3 linked regions of the Macaca fascicularis genome follow. The protein of the gene in region 3 purifies or fractionates together with the protein of the main gene of each other region. This does not show direct contact. Links are inferred from orthologs where the notes say so. Each region holds a gene or a part of one and is shown on either strand. Other genes may lie near its edges.

Region 1 (6,487 bases), on a different chromosome or scaffold from region 3:
AGCCACAGCATCCACCAAAGAAAGAAGGCAAGCAGGCTATTAAGCTGTTTAAAAATCTCCCCAGGTCAGCATGTGACCCAGCAGGGAGAGGTTCAAAAAAGTGCAGCCTTTCTTTTTCTTCCTAACAACCTGGTTTGTTTCCACTCCCTTCCCCTTCAAGACACATCCTTCACAGCTAGCAGCTCTTTCAATCATTTACTTTGGATGTCTGCTTGAGAACAAATGATCTTGCTCATGCAGATGAGTTTGCCAGACTTGTGTGTACTTTCCAGTCTCAGGCCCTTTACTGTTCTGGTTGAAACCTGATCCTCTGAAATGGATACCAGGACACCAGAAAATGAATTTTAAAAAGAAGAAGAAAAACAAAAAGTTGCAGGAAAGGGGGCAAAAAAGAAACAAAACAAAACAAAAAAAAAAACTACGAACTTTTCATGATCAAACTTTTTCCTCTGCTCTTTTGTAAGTCTGTCACGAAATTTTCTATCTTACATTACAAAGCAGCAACCCACCCTGGAAGGCAATCAATATAAAACACATATTAGGATTCACACAACAAAACATCCTTAATGGTATTACCTGATATGATAAATAAATGTTACACTTGCCTTAGGAGTAGACTGTCAAGACAGATCTGAATAAAAACTTACACTGTTTTTCACTTTATTATCTCAACTTGATTAAACACTATTAAGTGAGCTTTTTTAAAGACATCAATTTCGGTCTATAATAATTAGTTTTAGTCAACATTTTATATATACTTGATCCAAACAAGCCAGAAAAAAATTGAGGTCCTATCTGTAATTTCAAAATTAGAGGAGAGAAACTATTTAGATCTTTTCAGCCTAGTGCAATTTTGCCATTTTGTTAAACACAAAAAGACTGATAAAAAAATAAACAACCCAATGGTCATGTTTTTGTTTTCCCAGAGAGGAGGGTTTCTATTGTGAAGATCTACTAGCTTGAAAGAAGTTTGCCACTGAGAGACTGCGTATGAAACCTAAAAATTTACATTTCCCTTTACATTTTGGGGGGAAATATTGGTAAGTCACATCAAGCTTCAGTTGTAGTGCTTGTCATTTCACAATTTAAAATACTGTAAAATTAGACTCCCCCAAAAGCCCTACTTATTTTGTAGTTCTCCACCAATAAAATATTTATTTAAAAAGATACAAGTAGCACCACACGTACTTCATAAGATGCTGCTAGCCCTAATATTCTCAGAATTTGAAAATTTTCATGGTATTCTTTCTGTTTTGTGCTAGGCTAATTAACAGGTTTGGCACAAGCTCAAAATGAGAATAACCAAACTTCCACAAAAGAAAAGATTATAAAGAGGCTCAGAACCAAGACTCAGTAAAGCTCTCAAAATATTACCCATGCTAACAAAGGTATTTAGGTCACGCCAAACTTAAACATATACATGGGAGATATAACAGAGCTCTAGAGCTTAACATAAATATTAAAAAAAATAAAAACAAATGATATTCTGTATCTTGACACCACTTTACTGTGTCTTCCAATACATATTTTTCTTAGATAACTGTCTCCCACCATTATTTTCACTTACTTTAAGAAGTATCTCTGACCAGAAGATGTCTTTGCCATCTCCCAACCTGCTGGCAGAGGTACATCATCAGGTATCTCAAAAGAAGACTGTCGAAGATGCTGAGCTGTGGGTGTAGCTGCTGGACCAGAGACTACTCCAGTGGGGGTCAGTGTCCCAGGAGAAACAGCTCCCAACTGCAGAGAAGCTGGAGAGGAATGAGCTCGAACATGCTGTGGAGTCAGGGCTCCTGCAGTGCCTGCATCAGTACTGGCCTATTAGGAATATTAAGATGAAAAATTAAAAAAGAAACACAACTTTTTAGAGAGTCCCTTTAAATTTCCCAGTCAGTGCTTAATTGCAGCCGAGTATCTAAGTGCCAAAGGAAAATTTCAACATTTAATATTCGACACTAGAGAACACAGGTTTTCAAACGGATACTTTTAATATTATATAATTTTAATATGTTTTATATTTGTGCTTTTATTGATGAGCAGTCCATCTAATGAATTTCCACCTACTACACACCAGACATGTAAGGGCAACTAGTACTGAATGAATAAAACATTCCAAAAATAATAGTGAATTTTAAAACCTAATTTTTAAAAAGTCACTGCAGTTATGGGTGCTTTTCCAAGTTCTAAAATGTTCTAAGTATAAACACAACGCAAACAATATGCATTTTTTACTAGGTTTTAAGTAATTAATTTTTTTTTCTAGGTCAAGCCCAAGAAAAAACAAGCCCTCGTCATTTTTTCCCACCATGATAAAACGCCATCAATAAAGAAATCATAACAAATTACACAATTTTTAATGAAAGCAACAAATTTGAACTGCCCAAATGTTCTTAAAAGCCATCTACAATGAACAAGATGAAAAAAACTCAACTATATATTTGTATGTAGAAGATAATGAGGTTATCAGTCCAATTATAACTTAAGAACTCACAGACATTCACAACTCTATACAAGCAGAAAAAATTCTGCATTCAGACCCCAAAGATCTGAGTTCCAGTCTAAGCTGGCTAGTGTGACACTGAACAAGTATGTTAACTTCCATATGCCTGTTTTCTCGTTTGTAACATAGTTTTCAAGACAGAAAAATGGATGTATATAAAACAACTTATAGTCACCAGTTTGTGTTGTGAACAATAGTATTCACAACCTACATTCTACTATTCACAATCTTGCATAGTTTTTAAAATGTGTCTAATTAGAATTAAGAGTTTGATTATCAAAAAGTTAGAATTTCCTAGATTCACAAAGGTAAGGAAACCGGAAGGACTCAGTAGAGTCATTAATGCCTTAAAGTGATAGACCTTTCTGAGTGTCCCATCAGAATAAGTATGATTTAGAAAATCACTAGCAGAAATAAAAGTCCAATTTACAGATGAGCAACACTTAGTTAAAAACTTATTAAAAGCAAAACTGTAATAGTTTATGAATTTTAGAACTGCTGGATATAAATTCTTGTAAAAATTACCTACTAGAAGAAAAAGTACACTTTCCAGTTGTGACTCTTTGTCACAAAATGGGGGATCCAATCTATGTGTAGTATACTTTGAAAAAATACCGTGTAGTCTGCAGGGTGCATGCCAACACACATTTACTTACAATGAGTCCATAAACCAACTTCCAGGGGTAAGAAAAAAAGCATACCTAAGTCTATTTCTGACAAATTGAACTGTTTAGGCAAGCAGCTAAATTGTTTTTCCTTCCTTCCTCCTCCTTAACCCGGGTTTTTGTCATCAGGTTAAGTGAGTTTTTCTGAGTTCCAAAACCCTGTGGTCTCTGACAGAAGAATATACAACAGGCCCGCAAATAGGACAGAGGATGGGAGTGGGGGCGGTAACTCTTCTTTCCACTCAAGTTACAGCCCGAGTAGGCTAACTACATTGCAGTATTTGGAAAACCTATTAACTTTTGGGCAAAGTTCCTATGCTGAAGTTTAGCCTGAAGCAAGTTCTTTAAAAAAAAAAAAAAGAAGAAAAAAGAAAAGAAGGAAAAAGAGAGAACCCTACACTAAACAAAACCACTGGGACCTATCGGAATGTTAACACTCTCATTATAAATAGTTTCACTTCTATGCTGAATCAAGCTGGCAAAATAATCGAACGTTGTGTATGTGGAAAAGCAGCCATGTTCATATCCGCAATAAGAATTAAAAAGCAATGGCGATCCTAGAATTAGTCATCGCTTCCCAAACATTAACTTTTAATCACAGTTGAACTAGGCAGGACTTGGCCTATGAGTCAACCCGCAGTGTATTATCAAAGGCTTGTGTTAAAACCTCGGTACTGTAAAGCGCAACTCAGTTCCTGCGCAACGTACAGATGTGGCTAATTCAAAAGCTTTTCAGCCGACTGTAAATAATAGCCTACGATCGGGAAACCAACACGCAACCTACTAAGTTTGATAAGAGCGAGCCGACCCAAGTTCCAAGACACAAGGGAAGCGCAGGGGTGAAAGAACTCCATAAACAACTTCCAGGAAAGTCTGGGCAGGGGAAGCCCGAAACCTGTATTCAGAAATCGCCTAAGCCGCGAGGAAAATAAATGCTTACGGGAGGGGGAGGCAGAGGGGGAGGGGAAATGGGTAGGGGGGAGGGAAAGAAAGAGCAAAAAACTAAATGGACCGGTTCTACCCCCACCTCTAATCAACACTGGAAAACAAGAGAACAATTATTTGACTCCCCCAGGAGACTGAAGTGGACCGAGAGGCCGCAAAGGAAAGGGGCCCAGGGCTCAACTTCACAAACTCGGCCGCCGCTGGCAACTCACCCACACACAAATGCCAGAGGCCCCCCTCCCCCTTTCCCGGCCCGGCCCCGGCGGGAGCGAAGGTGCGGAGCGCGCGGAGGCGCGCGCATTGTGCAAGCCCACCGCGGCCCAGGCTCGGCTCTCCCCCACCCCCTTCCTTCCTCCCCACCCCTCCTCCACTCCCGCCAACCTCCCGGGAACCCCGGGAAGAAAGAAAGGAAGGAGGGAAAGCACGCCCCCCGGGGCCGCAACCGCAGAAAGAAACTCCGAAAGGAAAAACAAATCTCAGCCCCGGACTCTGGGAGGAGTGGGGAGCTGGTCACCGCGGCCGAGCGGACGACTCCAGTTCCTCCACTTCGCCGCGGGACCCCCACCCCAGCTAGAGCTCCCGCAACCCCCTCCCCTGGCCAGAGCTGGCGGCCGCGGCTCCCGAGCGCCCCCCCGGTCTGAGGCCCGCCCGACGGGGAAGCGGGGAGAGGGGCGACAAGGTTACCTGTCGGGAGTGGGATTTGGGCTCCGGCGGCTTGAAGAAGGAGTCGGGCAGCTTCCGGAGCCTCATAGGCACGGTCTGGGGCACGTTAGCCGTCTTGGGGTTCATGACGGCGTTGAAGAGCGCCTCCAGGTCGGTCTCCGAGTCCCCGCGGACGTGCACGATCTGATGCCCGGCGGGGGGTGCCTGCGGCGCCGCCTGGGTCGCCGCGGGTGCTGGCTGCCCGGGTCCGGACGGCGGGCCCTGCCCCTGGGGGGGCTGCGCAGGCGGCTGCCCTTGGCCCTGGGGGGCCGGTTGAGGCGGCGGCTGCTGCCCGGGATCCATGGCTTCTGCCTCCCCCGACGCGCACCCCCTAAACCAGGCGGGCGAGGGCTCCGCCCGGACGCCCCGGCTCCACAGGCCGAGGTGGAGAAGCGGCGACGGCTGCGGGCCGGGCGGTGCTGGGCGGCGGGAGCGACGCTCTCCTCGCTCTCAGGGCCGGGGGGCTGCGCCGCGGCCCCGCATCCCCCGCCCCGGCGCCTCCGCCCCCGCCCTGCGCCCCGGCTCCACTGGTCTGGCGGCTGCGCCTCGGGAGGGGCTGCGAGGGACTCGGACCTGCGGCGCCTGAGAACTTTTTCCCTCCAACTCCCTTGACGGAGGCCGGACAGCTCGTTGCCTTTCCCCTCCTCCCCCTTTCTCTTTTATTTCCTTTTCTTGTTCCTTCCTTCCTCCCTTTCTTTTCCCTGGCGGCGGCTGCGCCCGACTGAGACAGAAACTCGCCTCAGACGCCAAAACTAAAGTTGTGAGAAGCGCCCGCCCGCGCCGCCGCGGCCCCGCCTCCTCTCGGCTCTTCCTTCCTCTGCGCGCCCGCCCGCACCGCGGCCCGGCCGGCAGCGCAGGGAAACTTTTCGCTGCAAGTTGCTACATTCCTGCACACTCCCAGCCCTCCGCGCCTCTCCCGGTCGCACGTGACCCGCTCGCCCTGGTCCGGTCCGCCCTTCGCCCGCGCTCAGCCCGGCAGGGGCCCGGAGCGTGCCCCGTGTTCTACGCCGCGAACCACAAACGCTGGGTCCATTCCGAGGCCGAAGTGTGGTCTCTGCGGAGAACGCGGCCGCCCTTGGCCCCAGAAAGTCCTTCCGCCCCGCTCGGCTCCTTTTCCCGGCCCGTGCTCGGGAAAGGCGCTTCCAGCTCGCCTGGACTTGCGAAAGGACGAAGGCCGAAAGAAGTGGAGAGAGGATGTGCGAACCCACCTCCTCCTCCCCGCGTTACCCCGGCTTGACCGAGCGGAGCGCCAGTGCGGGCTTAAAGCCGCCAGGATAGATGGGAGTTAAAATAGATACGGTGAGCCGGCGCTGATGTTAATAAAGGTCCATTGTTTTCAGCATTAACTTTATTTTGTAATTCTGTTTCACTTATCTGTTAGTGTGCGAAAACTCACTTGAAAGGGTAAACGGTTACTGTAATTGAAGCTTTGAGACCAGGTCTGTGAGTCAGTGTAACTTAGTAAAAGAAACAAAAACACTACATTTTCTAAATAGTGAAATCACATCAACTGTTTTAGTACTCGAGTTTGCAACATAGTCACTGGAAGCCTCAACCCAAAAAAATCAGTGCTTCTTCAGGTACAAGCATTCATTCCTCTGTACCTGCCTTTCATCCTCAGGGAGCTGGGTGCCTACCCCTGCTATCCCTGTGCCTGGCCCAAGGGTGGACTCCG
Region 2 (6,487 bases), on a different chromosome or scaffold from region 3:
TTCCTGTTGTTCTGTATCCTGTCAGCATCTGGGATTGTCAGTTTTCTGAATTTTAGCCATTCTAATGTATGTAGTAGTAGCTCATTGTTATTTTAATTTGCAATTCCCTAATGATACATGATGTTCAGCATCTTCTCGTATGCTTATTTGCCATCTGTATATCTCTGATGAGATTTTTTTCTGATTGTTTGCTCTTTGATTCAGTTGTTTATTTTCTCATCGTGGAGTTTTAAGAATTATATATATACACACGCACACATATACACATATGTACATATATATGTACACACACATACACACATATACACACACACACACACTTGAAAAAATTAGAGACAAGTTCTTCTCTGTTGCCCAGGCTGGAGTGCAGTGGTGAGATCATAGCTCACAACAGCCTCCAACTCTTGGCCTCAAGCAGAGTTTTACAGGTGTGAGCCACTAAGCTGGCCTGCATATTTTAAATACAATCCTTAATCAGATATGGAATTTGCAAATATTTTCTCCCATTCTGTGACTTGTCTTCTCATTCTCTTAACAGTGTCTTTTGTAGACTTTTCAAATTTTAGTGATGCCCAACTTACTGTTTTTTTTCTTTTATGCATCATGCTTTTGGTGTTCTAGCTACACAGTCATTGCCAAACCCAAGGTCATCTAGATTTTCTCCTATGTTATCTTCTAAGAGTTTTTATAGTTTTACCTTTTATGTTAGGGAGTATGTTCTATTTTAAGTTAATTTTTGTGAAAGATATAAAGCCTATGTCTAGAATTTTTTTTTTTTTTTTTTTTGCATATGGGTGTCCAGTTGTTCCAGCACCACTTGTTAAAAAGGATGAATTGCCTTTGCTCCTTTGTGAAAGATTAGTTGAGTATATTTGTGTGAATTCCTACTGCCTTTTAATTAAAATTTTGGGTACTGTATATGGGGAATGCTGGTGGTATTTGTTGCAAGCAGATTCTTGTTTTCCCCTCCCTCCAGTCAATAACTGAAAATAAGTGTTTGCAACACACACACACACACACGCACACACGCACATGGCTAGTGCAGTGGGTATCTGTGTACATCATTGTGGACCCCTCGCCCTGTTATCCTTCAGCTTTCTCAGAATACACTAGCTCCTTCCGGCTGTACTTTATTTCCTTGTTTTCTCCCACCTTATAGGACTGCACATTTGAAAAATCGTTGAAACAGATTAAATAACACAGTCTAATTATCACCTACCGTACAGCCCATCTAGCATTTCAAAAAGAGGAATTTTGGTGAGTTCATGATAAATGTAGGCGGTCTCTCTTCCTGTCTTAGGTCTTACAGTGTCCTTTGGGGCCCTGTGAATCTATGATAAAAGATATTGACTCTTTACGGGTAATAAGGCCGGTGGGATTATTGGGCTATTACCAACCAGTCAAGATGAATTCTGAGCTCTTTTGCTTTGTCAGTTACAGGAGATCAGCTATAAATCCTGGCCACACAGTGCTCCAGTTTGAGAGTGATGATTTCCACCACTTTCCCATACTTTAAAAGATTGGCATCTGCCAAGTGATCAAAACACACAAAGAGGCCTTTTAACCAAGTTTAGCTTGAATTTCCAGTTGCTAACCACAAGCAGGTCTGGCAAGCTAGGAGGCCGGTTGGCTGCGCAGCTACTCCAGAGTGTGCGGTAGCCGAGGGCTGCGTCCGCGTAAAGCCCAGAGCTGTAATGATGTCAACTTGTTATTTACTTTCCAAATCTGAATGACTGAGCAAGGCGAAAGGAGAATCAATCAACCACAATGTGACCCTACAGGCGGAAAAAACGCAGCGCTCCCACCAGCAGGCGGTGGGGGAAGGGAAGCACGTGTAGCCAGGGCAGGGTTGCATCATGAGCTCTTTCGCTCGGGTTTTCTATTGCACCCTTCGTTTTTCGATTGCATGTAATAGTCAGCATCAGTCTGCACAAGCCCAGGGAGCCCGGGAGCAACGAAGGGCAGGCTCAAGGGAAGGCCCCACCAAGTCCTTCTGGGGGGCCTTGAATGGCAACTGATACGTAATAAGACACAATCTATTCTGCTGATTCACAATTATGGAGACTGTGTAAGTGTGTATTTTTTTTATTGATGTCCTCTAATGATGGTGTAGCAACAGTCATTTTGCATCATTGACGTTTTACGGCAATATTTTGCAGGGTAATTTTGAGGTCCGCCTTTTTGATGGAGGACCGGCCTCTTAAAAACTCACCTCCGGCCGGGCGCGGTGGCTCACGCCTGTAGTCCCAGCACTTTGGGAGGCCGAGGCCGGCGGATTGCCTGAGGTCAGGAGTTCGAGACCAGTCTGGCCAATATGGTGAAACTAAAACTACTAAAAATACAAAAAAATTAGCTGGGCGTGGTGGCGTGCGCCTGTAATCCCAGCTACTCCGGAGGCTGAGGCAGGGGAACTGCTTGAACCAGGGAGGTAGGTGGAGGTTGCAGTGAGTCGATATCGTGCCACAGCACCCCAGCTTGGGCAACTGAGCGAGACTCCGTCTCAGAAAAACAAAAACAAAAACAAAAACCTCACCTCGGGTCCCCCTCCCCCCACAACCAGAACAACAAATGGTCTAGTGTTCGAGGAAGAGCAAGTAAGGTTATAGTTTAGATTGCTGAGTGCACCGGACTCTTAGCACGAAGCTCATTATATAGTAAAGGAAGGGGCAAGAATATTTGAAAAATATTCAACAAGGCTGACCCCAGAGGTGCTGGGGAGGGGGAGTGGAGATCTGTTTAACTGAATTAAGGCCGCGAGTGGTGGGGAGTAGCCTACGTGGAGGGGAGGAAGGAGCGCTGGGGACTTAAGTGCACCGGGGCCAGGCCGTGTAAGCCATTGCAACATTAAGCACTTTGCAAGGCCCAGAGGGCTGAAGCCTGGGGGTTGGGGTGGGAGTGCTGAGGCCCGAGGGCCCAGGTCCCCCTAACCTCCTCAGCCCCCACACCCGAGCTCCTGGCGCCTATGCTTGTGTGTCTGAGTTTGTCCCTAAGCGTTTCTGGCTCTTCCTGGGAGGTGTTTTGCAAAGGTCGAGGCTCCGCCGGAGCCCCCACTTTTTGAGGTGGGGTAAAGACTACTGGGGTGTCTTCTAAGACGCTTATTTTGAGGGAGATTCACCATCGGGCAGGTGGCAGGGGGTTCTCTTGGGGCAGCTGGGTGGCTTCCTTATTGGGGTGGGGGAGGGTAACACTTTAGCAGGGACCGAGGTTCCCCTGCCCCCCCGAAACAGAGGGGGTGGCCGAGGTTCCCGTCCCCTCGAGGCAGTCGTGGAAAGGCTGGGTTTGGGATGTGATGGGGGTAGCCCTGGGGTCCTCTCAGTCCCACGGAGGCCACGGGGAAGGGACCGGGACCGGAGCAACTCGGGAAAGGCTTGGGTTCCCCTCACCCACCCTAGGCGTTGGGGAGCGGGGCGGGCTTGGTAGGGACGCTGGTCCCCCGACCGTGGGGCAGGGGCTGGGTTGGGACGCGGGTCCCCTCTAGGAGCCGCGGGGGAGGGGCAGGGCCGGAGTCCCTACCCTCGTGGGGGAGGGGCTGGTTCGGGACGCGGCTCCCCCGGGGCTCAGGGGCGGGGCTGGGTGGGACGCCGGGTGCCCTCCCACGGCCGTGAGGGAGGGGCTGGCGGAGGGGGCGGACCCCTGGCGGTAGTCCTGGTTGGGGTCCGCGCGCTCGCGACCGCTCCCCGCGGAGGTCACTGCCCGTGCCAGTCCCTCCCGCTGTTCCGCCCTCTCCCGCCGCCGCCGCCGCCGCCTCCGCCGCCGCGCCCGGCTCAGCGGCCCCACTCCGCGCTCGGGAGCGAGGAGTCGCCAGCGCCCCCGCCGCGCCGCCGCCGCAGCGCCCTCCGGCCGCCATTCGCCACCGAAACTTTCCAGCGCCCGCGCCCTCTCCGGGACTCGGCGGCGGCGGGGCGGGGGCGGCCCGGGGGCGGCGCGCGGCTGCTCCAGGGCGCCGGGCCCTCTTCGGCCGCCGCACGGCCGGGGCTCGGAGGCTGCCGGCCGGAGGGAGGTTCGGAGCGCGGCCGGGCGCGCGGCGCCGCCACAAGTTGCGCTGTTCGCGGCGAGGTGAGTGCGCGGGGCTCGGCGGGCCGGGCGCGGGGTCCGCAAACTTCTGCGGGGAGGCGGTTCCCGCGCTGACCCTCCAGGGTCTGGCCGGCGACTCGGGGCGCCCGGACGCTCCACCCGCCCCTGGAACTACAGGAGGCGCAGGTCGCCAACTGTCCCCGTGGCGCTCGGACTGGGGTGCGGCGCGCTCCCAGGAGGCTGAACAATACCCCGAGGTGGCCGCTCCCCAAAGTGCCGGCGCGCCTTGCGGGGAGAGACAGAGGTCGGCGGGGGGCTCCTTTGTTTTGGGGAGGGGTAGGTGACCGGTAAGTTTATGGAAGAGCTCGGCTTTTCCTCTGGTGCCCCTTTGTCTGCCGATCTTGGGGCTTGCTGGGCAAACCTGCGCCACCGCGGGCTCGGGGGACCGGGGTGGAGGGCGGTGGCGGGATTTCCCCGCTGTTGGGGAGAGGAGCCCCATTCATCCCCGGGAAGCGGGCCGGCCCGCCCGGACCCGGGTGGAAGCGCAGCCTTACGAAGTGAGGCAAGCGGCGGGCGAGGTGGCGCGGGCCCCGCGTCTGCTCAGTTTCTGAGGCGCAGAAACTGTCAAGGAAGTCAGGAGCCCCAGTCCTCCGCCCATCTCCCCGGCCCGAGCGCACAGCTGGGCTGGGGACACCCCTGGCCGGTCGAGGGTCTGCAGAGCGCCGCCCGGAGAGAGCGCAGACCTGTTGCTGCTCCTGGGCTCTGGCGGGGCGGGTGGGGTGGGTCTCGCAGATCCTGGGCCCCGGCCTTGCTACCCAGGAGGACCTTCCCTAAGGATGGGACCGGTGCTCGGAGTGGGGTATGGGGAGTGCGCCTTCGGGAATCAGCGCTGGCCGGATATGTGACAACTGTGGGTCGCTGGAGGCCCGCCTGCGCTGGGATAGGGCCTGGACCTCACGTGCGTCGCCTGTGCTCAGTCAGACCGGGGCCGGGACTCGCTCCCTGCAAGGCCTCGTGTTCCCCCAGCCAGCTGCGTTGGACGTTCCACAAAGGTAGGGACTGACGTTTATTTTCCAGTCAGTGATGTTCTGGAGCAAAACCTGAAAAGAAACAAAAACCTATCCTCTATTGTATTTGCGACTGTTTCTGCTTTGCATTGTCATGTGTGACTTGACCTGCCTTCTGGATGTTTTCCTCTCCTGACACATTCGCCGAGCCCCTGGTTTCACCTGGAAGGCGAGGGGGAAGGACGGCAACCTCCCTGCTAAGGTCCCAGGCAGTGGCTTTGGTGTCGGAAGTGGCACTTGAGGATTTTATGAAAAGTTTACAAGTCTTTCCTAGAAAAGATGTGATTAGGAAAAATAAAATACAGAAGAATGTTCAGTATGACGCGTTTATTTTAAAGGGTAGTCATGTCTCAAATGTGCTGCAGATTCTTGTGGAAAGCCACCAAGCTGGGTAACTAATACAGACAACGAGTTTTTCACCGCTGGATCACCGGCCCTTAAGGCGATTCCAGCCCTTAATAGAACACACACCTGTAGGGCAAAAATGGAGATTTGTGGTGTAGTGCTGCCACCCTCGCTCCCCCACCTGCCCCTTTACTGGGCTCAGAGAACTTCTCTCTGCCAGTGGTTTTAAGGAGGAGACAGTTTGCAAAAATAATAACTTTATTGTAGACATACTTAAAAGTGAATGTTTCAATTTCTGGAGTTTTCCCATCAATTATATCAGTACCGCTGGTTCTGTACAACATCATCTTAGTTAGAATATTTTTTTTTCACCTTTTAAGGTGAGGAACAGAGGCGGGAAAATGGTCCCTGCACAGGGAGGCCATCTCCAGCAGGTCCCAAGTGTCAGGAATTCAGATATTCCGATATACTCCTGCTGGATAGGAGAACACCTCCGCTAGAACCTGGGCCTGGCCCCCTCCCAGTTTTCTGCAGGGCGTCCAAATTCCGGTGCTCTGCCCCGCAGCAAGTGCCCTGTGGGCCTCCTGGCTTAGCTGATCATCACAGCTTCTCTGCCCGGCAAGGCAGGACCATCCTCGCACTGCTTTCCTGATGCCTTGGATTTGCCTTTTTTTCCTCCCTTAGGAAAAACAGAAAAACCTAGTAGGTTACATCCGAGAAGTTGTTAATCTTTCACTGCCGCATGCATTGAAAAATCAGTTTCAACCAGGAAGCAACACTAAAGGCGTACTGTAAACACTTTTTTTTTTTTTTTTGAGTTGGAAAGATAAACTTTTTTCCCCCTTAACTATTTTTAGTGAGCCGGAGACTGGACTCGAGTTTTTCCCTCCGGTCTTGCCCTCTCCACTCCTGCCCTCACTTTCTGTGGGGTTGGAACACATGTACCATGCTGGCCAGACTGGCAAACATGAAACCCACAAGAACCAAAAGAAAAGCTGGATGTGGGAAGGGGCTGAAGAAGTCCACAGGTTTCTAAAGGGCAAAGAGAGCCTAGGCTGGGG
Region 3 (6,387 bases):
ATTCTGTATTCTCAGTGAATAGATATCATCTAAGTATGAGAAACAATTTTTTTCTATTCTGAGTATTTTTAAGGAGGCAACTTGTATGTGGTACTTTGTATCTTGTGTATGTTGGCAATTGGGGAAAAGAATAGATGGTTTGTACTAGGGCCTCTTGGAGTGTGTGTGTGTCATGAAAATACTCTTTAGCTACCTAGCATTTTTTCTCCTTTCAGTAACCCGCCTAACAACATTTACCCGGAATTTCAAAGCAAGCTTCAAATCAGTATTGAAAGAGGGAAAAATATAAAGGCATTTAATGGAAGGAAGTGTTGGGAGTAAAGTATAGGGCTGGCAACACTTATTTTTCCCACTTATTGAGAGTAATTTTACCTGGGATTTTATGAGAGAGAAAGACATTATGATTGCTCCAGGTAACTGCTGGCAGTGGAGCCATAGGCTTGGGGATAGACAAATGTGGCTGAGTTCATACAGAATGAGGGGATGTAAATTCTGTCAGCTGTTCCAGCAGTAACCTGTAATGTAGGCTAAAAATACAGATTTTGAGATTTATTTAGTCAGAATCCCTGGAGTGTTAATTTTTATATCAAGATCTCATAGTGTTTATTTGAAGTGACAGGGAGGTCTGTAGATAGCTGGACTTGTATGGGACCGGAAGCCTAGGAATTTTTTCTTCCAGGTTATTCTTATATTCATTTGTTTATTCTGAACATAGCATCTAATGTATTTTAAGAAATGGAATAGGCACATGGTATACATTGGGTAACACAACAGTGCTTGTTTTTATAGTCTTGTGAAGGTGACAAAAGTATTTAAAAATATGTGATCATAAATTAGAATGAGTGTTATGGGAGAAGTGAACAGCAAATAGTGATAAGAATTAATGGGGAGGGGAATTGTCTAATTAGATGAGAGGGAAAGGGTCTCCTTGAAAAGGGGATAAGTGGGACTGCAGGATGAGAAGGAACCTTTCTCTTGTCTGTATGAGAAGTGAGGGTTAAATGTTTTCCAGGTAGAGAAAAGGAACACCATGTGCTGTGTCTTTAGAACCAGGGGTATCCAGTCTTTTGGCTCCCCTGGGCCACATTGGAAGAAGAGTAATTGTCTTGGACTACACACCAAATACACTAATGATAGCTGATGAGCTAAAACAAACAAACAAAAAATTGCAAAAGAATCTCATAATGTTTTAAGAAAGTTTACGAATTTGTGTTGGGCTACATTCAGAGCTGTCCTGGGCCACGTGGCCCATGGGCTGCAGGTTGGACAAGCTTGCCTTAGAAGGAAAGAGATTGTGGAGATCCAGGTGCTGAAGAGAAGGTCTGTGTAAACAGAACTTAGTAAGTAATGAGGTGGATGGCCTGGTATGAGGTTGAGGTTAGGTAAGCAGAGCCATAACATGCAGGACTTTCTAGGTTCCTATAAGATGTTTACTACTCATGGAGTTTATTCATGCTTTATTCCAGCTTTGGAGCCATAGATACAGAATACTTGGTCAGTTTGGAAGGCTAGGTGGGATCCAAATTCTAAACGGTTTCTCGGGGTTATACTAAAGTATTGTCTGCTATCTTAAAAGGATGCCGAGACACTTTTGATGGTTGTTGATCAATAGCAAAGCATCACAGTGGTGTGTTTAAAATATTAATAATAGCATTGTTTAGATTAACAGTTTGAATGACCAAAAGGTAGAAGACCAGACTGCTGAGATGTTATAGGCTTTTAGGAATCAAATAGTTTGGTTTTAGAACTAAATAGCTAAGGGCAAATGTCTGAGATGTCTGAAAGAATCACAGAATGTAATAATATAGGAGCTAAGGGAGCAACCAAAAATGGTTTGTGGAGGGGACAGTATTGGTACCATGAAGATAAATGGAACCCTCAGAAGGCATCCTTAATTTTTGAACATAATAATTTAAGAAGCTGACTTAGGCCGGGCGTGGTGGCTCACGCCTGTAATCCCAGCACTTTGGGAGGCTGAGGCAGGTGGATCACCAGGTCAGCAGATCGAGGCATCCTGGCTAACACGGTGAAACCTCGTCTCTACTAAAAATACAAAAAATTAGCCATTTAGCCAGGCATGGTGGTGGGCGCCTGTAGTCCCAGCTACTGGGGAGGCTGAGGCAGGAGAAGGAGAATGGCATGAACCCGGGAGGCGGAGCTTGCAGTGAGCCAAGATCGCGCCACTGCACTCCAGCCTAAGCGACACCATCTCAAAAAAAAAAAAAACAAAAAACGAAGCTGACTTAAAGTGACTAAAAGGTCAGTAGGTAGCTGGAAATGTAAGGTACTAGAGAATGCAAGAGAGACAGGCTAGAGATTTGGAAGTTTCCCTTTTAGTATATAGGGGTAAGGGCAGCAGGGAACGGGAGATAGAGATGCCACAGAGTCATCTGCATGGGACTTTTTTTACCCTAGAACTGCTGAAACAGAATGTGTGTGTTTTAAAGTCTCTGTAGGCCATTCTGATGGACATCTGGGGTTAAAATCCATTCTCAGAGTTAATAGTTATGTAAAGGGAGGGAATGAAGTCTTAATGAGGGGAAAGAAGGTAGTCATTTCACAAATACTGAGCATCCTGAGTATCAATCTTATGCAGATCCTTCTATTAGTAGCTGGAGCTACTATGAAAAAGGAACCCAATAGAGGTGATCTTTGTCTTGTAGGGAAAGTGGACTAACTTATACTATGAAGGAGAAGTGCAGGGTACCGTAAGAATTACAGCAAATAGACTTCATCTGAGGAAATAAAACAGACCTAAAAGATGAAGGAGACAAGGAAAAGTATCTCTTACTGCATTTAGAAGTGGTTTAAGTTGAAGATGGAGGGGTGAAGTTAATCTAGTATGTGGGCATTGGGTTTCCATTTATACTCCTTTGCCAGAGTAAATGTCCCCCATTTAAGGGTCCTAAAGGATTGGAAGGTCGTGAACCTTGGAACACATGTATTGCAGTCAGTGAACTGTATAAAGTCCCTGGCAGTAAAGTGTTTTCATGCCGACTTTCTGGATTGTTCTTACCCCAGAAATTTACCTAGCTTCTTTAGGTCTTTAGTCAGATGTCACCTTCACAGTGAGGTGACCTAATTACTTAAAATTGCAGCCCCACTCCATTGTTTTTCTCCATAGCCCTTTAATATCATCTGACCTACTGTATGGTTTTAGTTTATTGTATATTTGTTGTCTGCCTCTTCCAACTAGATCATAAGTTCTGAGGGTAGGAACTTTTGAATATTTTTGCTCACTGGTCTATCTCCAGCTCAGAACAGGACCTGATAGTGAATAAATATTTTTGAAATGATTGAATGGATGAAAAGAAATTAATAAGAATATTACCGCTGGGCGTGGTGGCTCTCATGCCTGTAATCTCAGCGCTTTGGGAGGCCAAGGCAGGCGGATCACAAGGTCAGGTGATCGAGACCATCCTGGCTAACATGGTGAAACCCTGTCTCTACTAAAAAATATAAAAAATTAGCCGGGTGCCTGTAGTCCCAGTTGCTCGGGAGGCTGAGGCAGGAGAATGGCATGAACCCGGGAGGCAGAGGTTGCAGGGAGCCGAGATTGTGCCACTGCACTCCAGCCTGGGCGACAGAGCGAGACTCCGTCTCAAAAAAAAATATATTACCTAAGGGGGATAGTGGAGATAACAAAGACTTCTTCGGCTTAGGAAAGGAACAGTAGCTATTTGACAATTTGTCACTAGTGATGTGAACTGGCAAAACGAGGGAAACTGAGCAACATTCTAGAAAATGAGAGGAAAACAAATACTTAGGTAAAAGGAAGTAAACTCTGGAAATAAAGAAGGACACCTTCTAAGACTAGAAAATATATTTAGGATTGATAGCAACTTCTAGCTAATGACTAGGGTCTTACATCCTTTTTAATTTTCTAGGTGGAATGCAAGCTTTAGGACTTCACCTGACAGATCCAAGTCAACGTCTTGTTCAGAACTGTCTTTGGACTCTCAGGAATCTTTCAGATGCTGCAACTAAACAGGTAAATTCTGAGTAAATTGACGCCATGGGAATAGAGTCAAGATGAGTATGTGCTTGTACTGACCATTTGTTTTTATCTTCATAGGAAGGGATGGAAGGTCTCCTTGGGACTCTTGTTCAGCTTCTGGGTTCAGATGATATAAATGTGGTCACCTGTGCAGCTGGAATTCTTTCTAACCTCACTTGCAATAATTATAAGAATAAGATGATGGTCTGCCAAGTGGGTGGTATAGAGGCTCTTGTGCGTACTGTCCTTCGGGCTGGTGACAGGGAAGACATCACTGAGCCTGCCATCTGTGCTCTTCGTCATCTGACCAGCCGACACCAAGAAGCAGAGATGGCCCAGAATGCAGTTCGCCTTCACTATGGACTACCAGTTGTGGTTAAGCTCTTACACCCACCATCCCACTGGCCTCTGATAAAGGTAAATTGTCAAAGTAGAATTTACCTTTGTTGCAGAATTGAAAATGAAGCATCTCTAGCCGTTGGATGGCTAAGCATAGTGATCAATAAATAGGAATTGTATTCGTTAGTAAGTAGGAAGTATGGCTGCGATAGGGGTAGGATTCTGAAATGTTTGTGTAGTCAGAACTACTTTTAGTTGTTCCCAATAGATTTATTGTGGTGGGAATTTTAGGCTAAGAAAATGATTGTGTTGAGTTGTATGCCAATTCTTCCTTCTGTTTTTCAGGCTACTGTTGGATTGATTCGAAATCTTGCCCTTTGTCCAGCAAATCATGCACCTTTGCGTGAGCAGGGTGCCATTCCACGACTAGTTCAGTTGCTTGTTCGTGCACATCAGGATACCCAGCGCCGTACGTCCATGGGTGGGACACAGCAGCAATTTGTGGTGGGTAAATTCTTATAGTGATACCTGGCTGTCTAAAAGGAATGCATAGATCCAAAGATCTGAACTTCTTTGGTCATTTGTTCTCCCCGTCCCTTTTCCTGAAGAGCTGATGACAAAATATGACTGCAGAGAAGATAAGGCATAGTGTGGCCCCAGTGATATTTCCTTGGACACGTCCTTCACATGGTCAGTCTTACAAAGGTTGGGTTAGGCATTTCATGTAGTGTTCTCATTTAATTTACACAAAGGCCCACTTAGGAAGAGGTAGAGTCATAATTTGAGACCAAATCTGTGTAATTTCAGAGCTTCTTACCCTTGCCTCATCATAAATTTTGACAATAAATATTTAGCAGTCCATTTTATTATCTTTTCTGTGAGTTAAACTTTTTTCATGGACCTAAGAATATAGTATAGACATACTTCAAAAATAAGTAGTAGCATTTCTGTACTCTTAACCACAATAGTCTCAACCTGAAGCTTTGATACAAAGTTTGAGTCTTAAAAGTAGCTTCATTAAAAGTATAGTCTGAAGATACTTCTGATTTCTCAGACTTTAAGACCTTATTTAATTAGGTTAGTTTAGAAAACAAAGATGGAGCCTACCAGAACAGATTTTAGGAATCTCATTTTGCTGGTTGCTTTGTGTATGTACTCATACTGGGGCTTTGGCTTGCTTCATTTATTACTGTTGGTATTGGCCCATCTCCATGAGGTGACTTAATAGAATGTTGAGGGAATCTTTTATTTTAAATCTCTTTTCTAGGAAAAAAGGAGTTTTTGTATCCTTGCAAGAATCAAATTATTTATAAAAGCTGCTAAATGTAGCAGAATCATAACCCCTTTTAAAACTCAAATCCAGAAACAGGAGAAACAGATGGTACTTAAATATTGCAAAAGCTAACTTCTCCTATACATGAGACTGTCAGCTGAATAGTCTTGGAAGAGTGAGGAGTGGATTTTTCTGCTGGCAACTCAGTTAGTTTTAGCAGTTGGTGCTAAAACTTGGCAAAGTTTTCACCAAATACATGGAAGATGTACAAAAATAGAGGGGGCATGTAAAGGAAAAACGTTGACATAGTCTGAGCATTACTTTCTCATCTTCTCTTTTTATATACCTTTTACTCAGAATGATTGGTGCCCTTACTGTAGGAAAGTTGTCTTCGGGATTCAGTGCTATGTGGAAGCTCTGTTGCACTGTGTATGGGGAAGGGGTGCTGCCTTGAATTAGTGCTGCCAGGAGGCCTCTTTTCAGTGACATTCAAGTTAATGGAATCCTCCTTCATTCCCAAACGAATTGCAAGTTATGGGGAACTTCGGGTATATAATGTAAATAATTATAGTCTAATAATTATTCCTCAGAATGCAAAGCCTTTCAAGTTCAGAAACTTTACAGAGGAGAATGCCCTATTTGTTAACCATGTTTCTTTTGGCAGGAGGGGGTCCGCATGGAAGAAATAGTTGAAGGTTGTACTGGAGCCCTTCACATCCTAGCTCGGGATGTTCACAACCGAATTGTAATCAGAGGACTAAATACCATTCCATTGTTT

The links.
Region 1: the proteins of CTNNB1 (region 3) and YAP1 purify together in Homo sapiens (co-immunoprecipitation; 11 studies listed by BioGRID and IntAct, with this or other methods). This does not show direct contact. The link is inferred for Macaca fascicularis from reciprocal best matches to the Homo sapiens genes CTNNB1 and YAP1.
Region 2: the proteins of CTNNB1 (region 3) and TBL1X purify together in Homo sapiens (affinity purification with western blotting; 4 studies listed by BioGRID). This does not show direct contact. The link is inferred for Macaca fascicularis from reciprocal best matches to the Homo sapiens genes CTNNB1 and TBL1X.

What each region holds. Positions count from the first base shown.
Region 1 is NC_088388.1:101,116,967-101,123,453, reverse strand, and holds the start of YAP1 (transcriptional coactivator YAP1), read right to left. Parts: upstream 5,116-6,487; coding exon 4,795-5,115; intron 4,417-4,794; exon of another isoform or gene 3,950-4,416; intron 1,819-3,949; coding exon 1,568-1,818; intron 1-1,567. Other genes in the region: uncharacterized protein, read left to right, coding at 5,114-5,342, 5,400-6,049. UniProt on the Homo sapiens protein: Transcriptional regulator with dual roles as a coactivator and corepressor. Critical downstream regulatory target in the Hippo signaling pathway, crucial for organ size control and tumor suppression by restricting proliferation and promoting apoptosis.
Region 2 is NC_088395.1:9,143,042-9,149,528, forward strand, and holds the start of TBL1X (F-box-like/WD repeat-containing protein TBL1X), read left to right. Parts: upstream 1-1,845; 5' UTR 1,846-2,068; intron 2,069-3,618; exon of another isoform or gene 3,619-4,056; intron 4,057-4,623; exon of another isoform or gene 4,624-5,066; intron 5,067-6,487. UniProt on the Homo sapiens protein: F-box-like protein involved in the recruitment of the ubiquitin/19S proteasome complex to nuclear receptor-regulated transcription units. Plays an essential role in transcription activation mediated by nuclear receptors.
Region 3 is NC_088376.1:104,075,758-104,082,144, forward strand, and holds part of CTNNB1 (catenin beta-1), read left to right. Parts: intron 1-3,887; coding exon 3,888-3,991; intron 3,992-4,075; coding exon 4,076-4,414; intron 4,415-4,681; coding exon 4,682-4,840; intron 4,841-6,273; coding exon 6,274-6,387. UniProt on the Homo sapiens protein: Key downstream component of the canonical Wnt signaling pathway.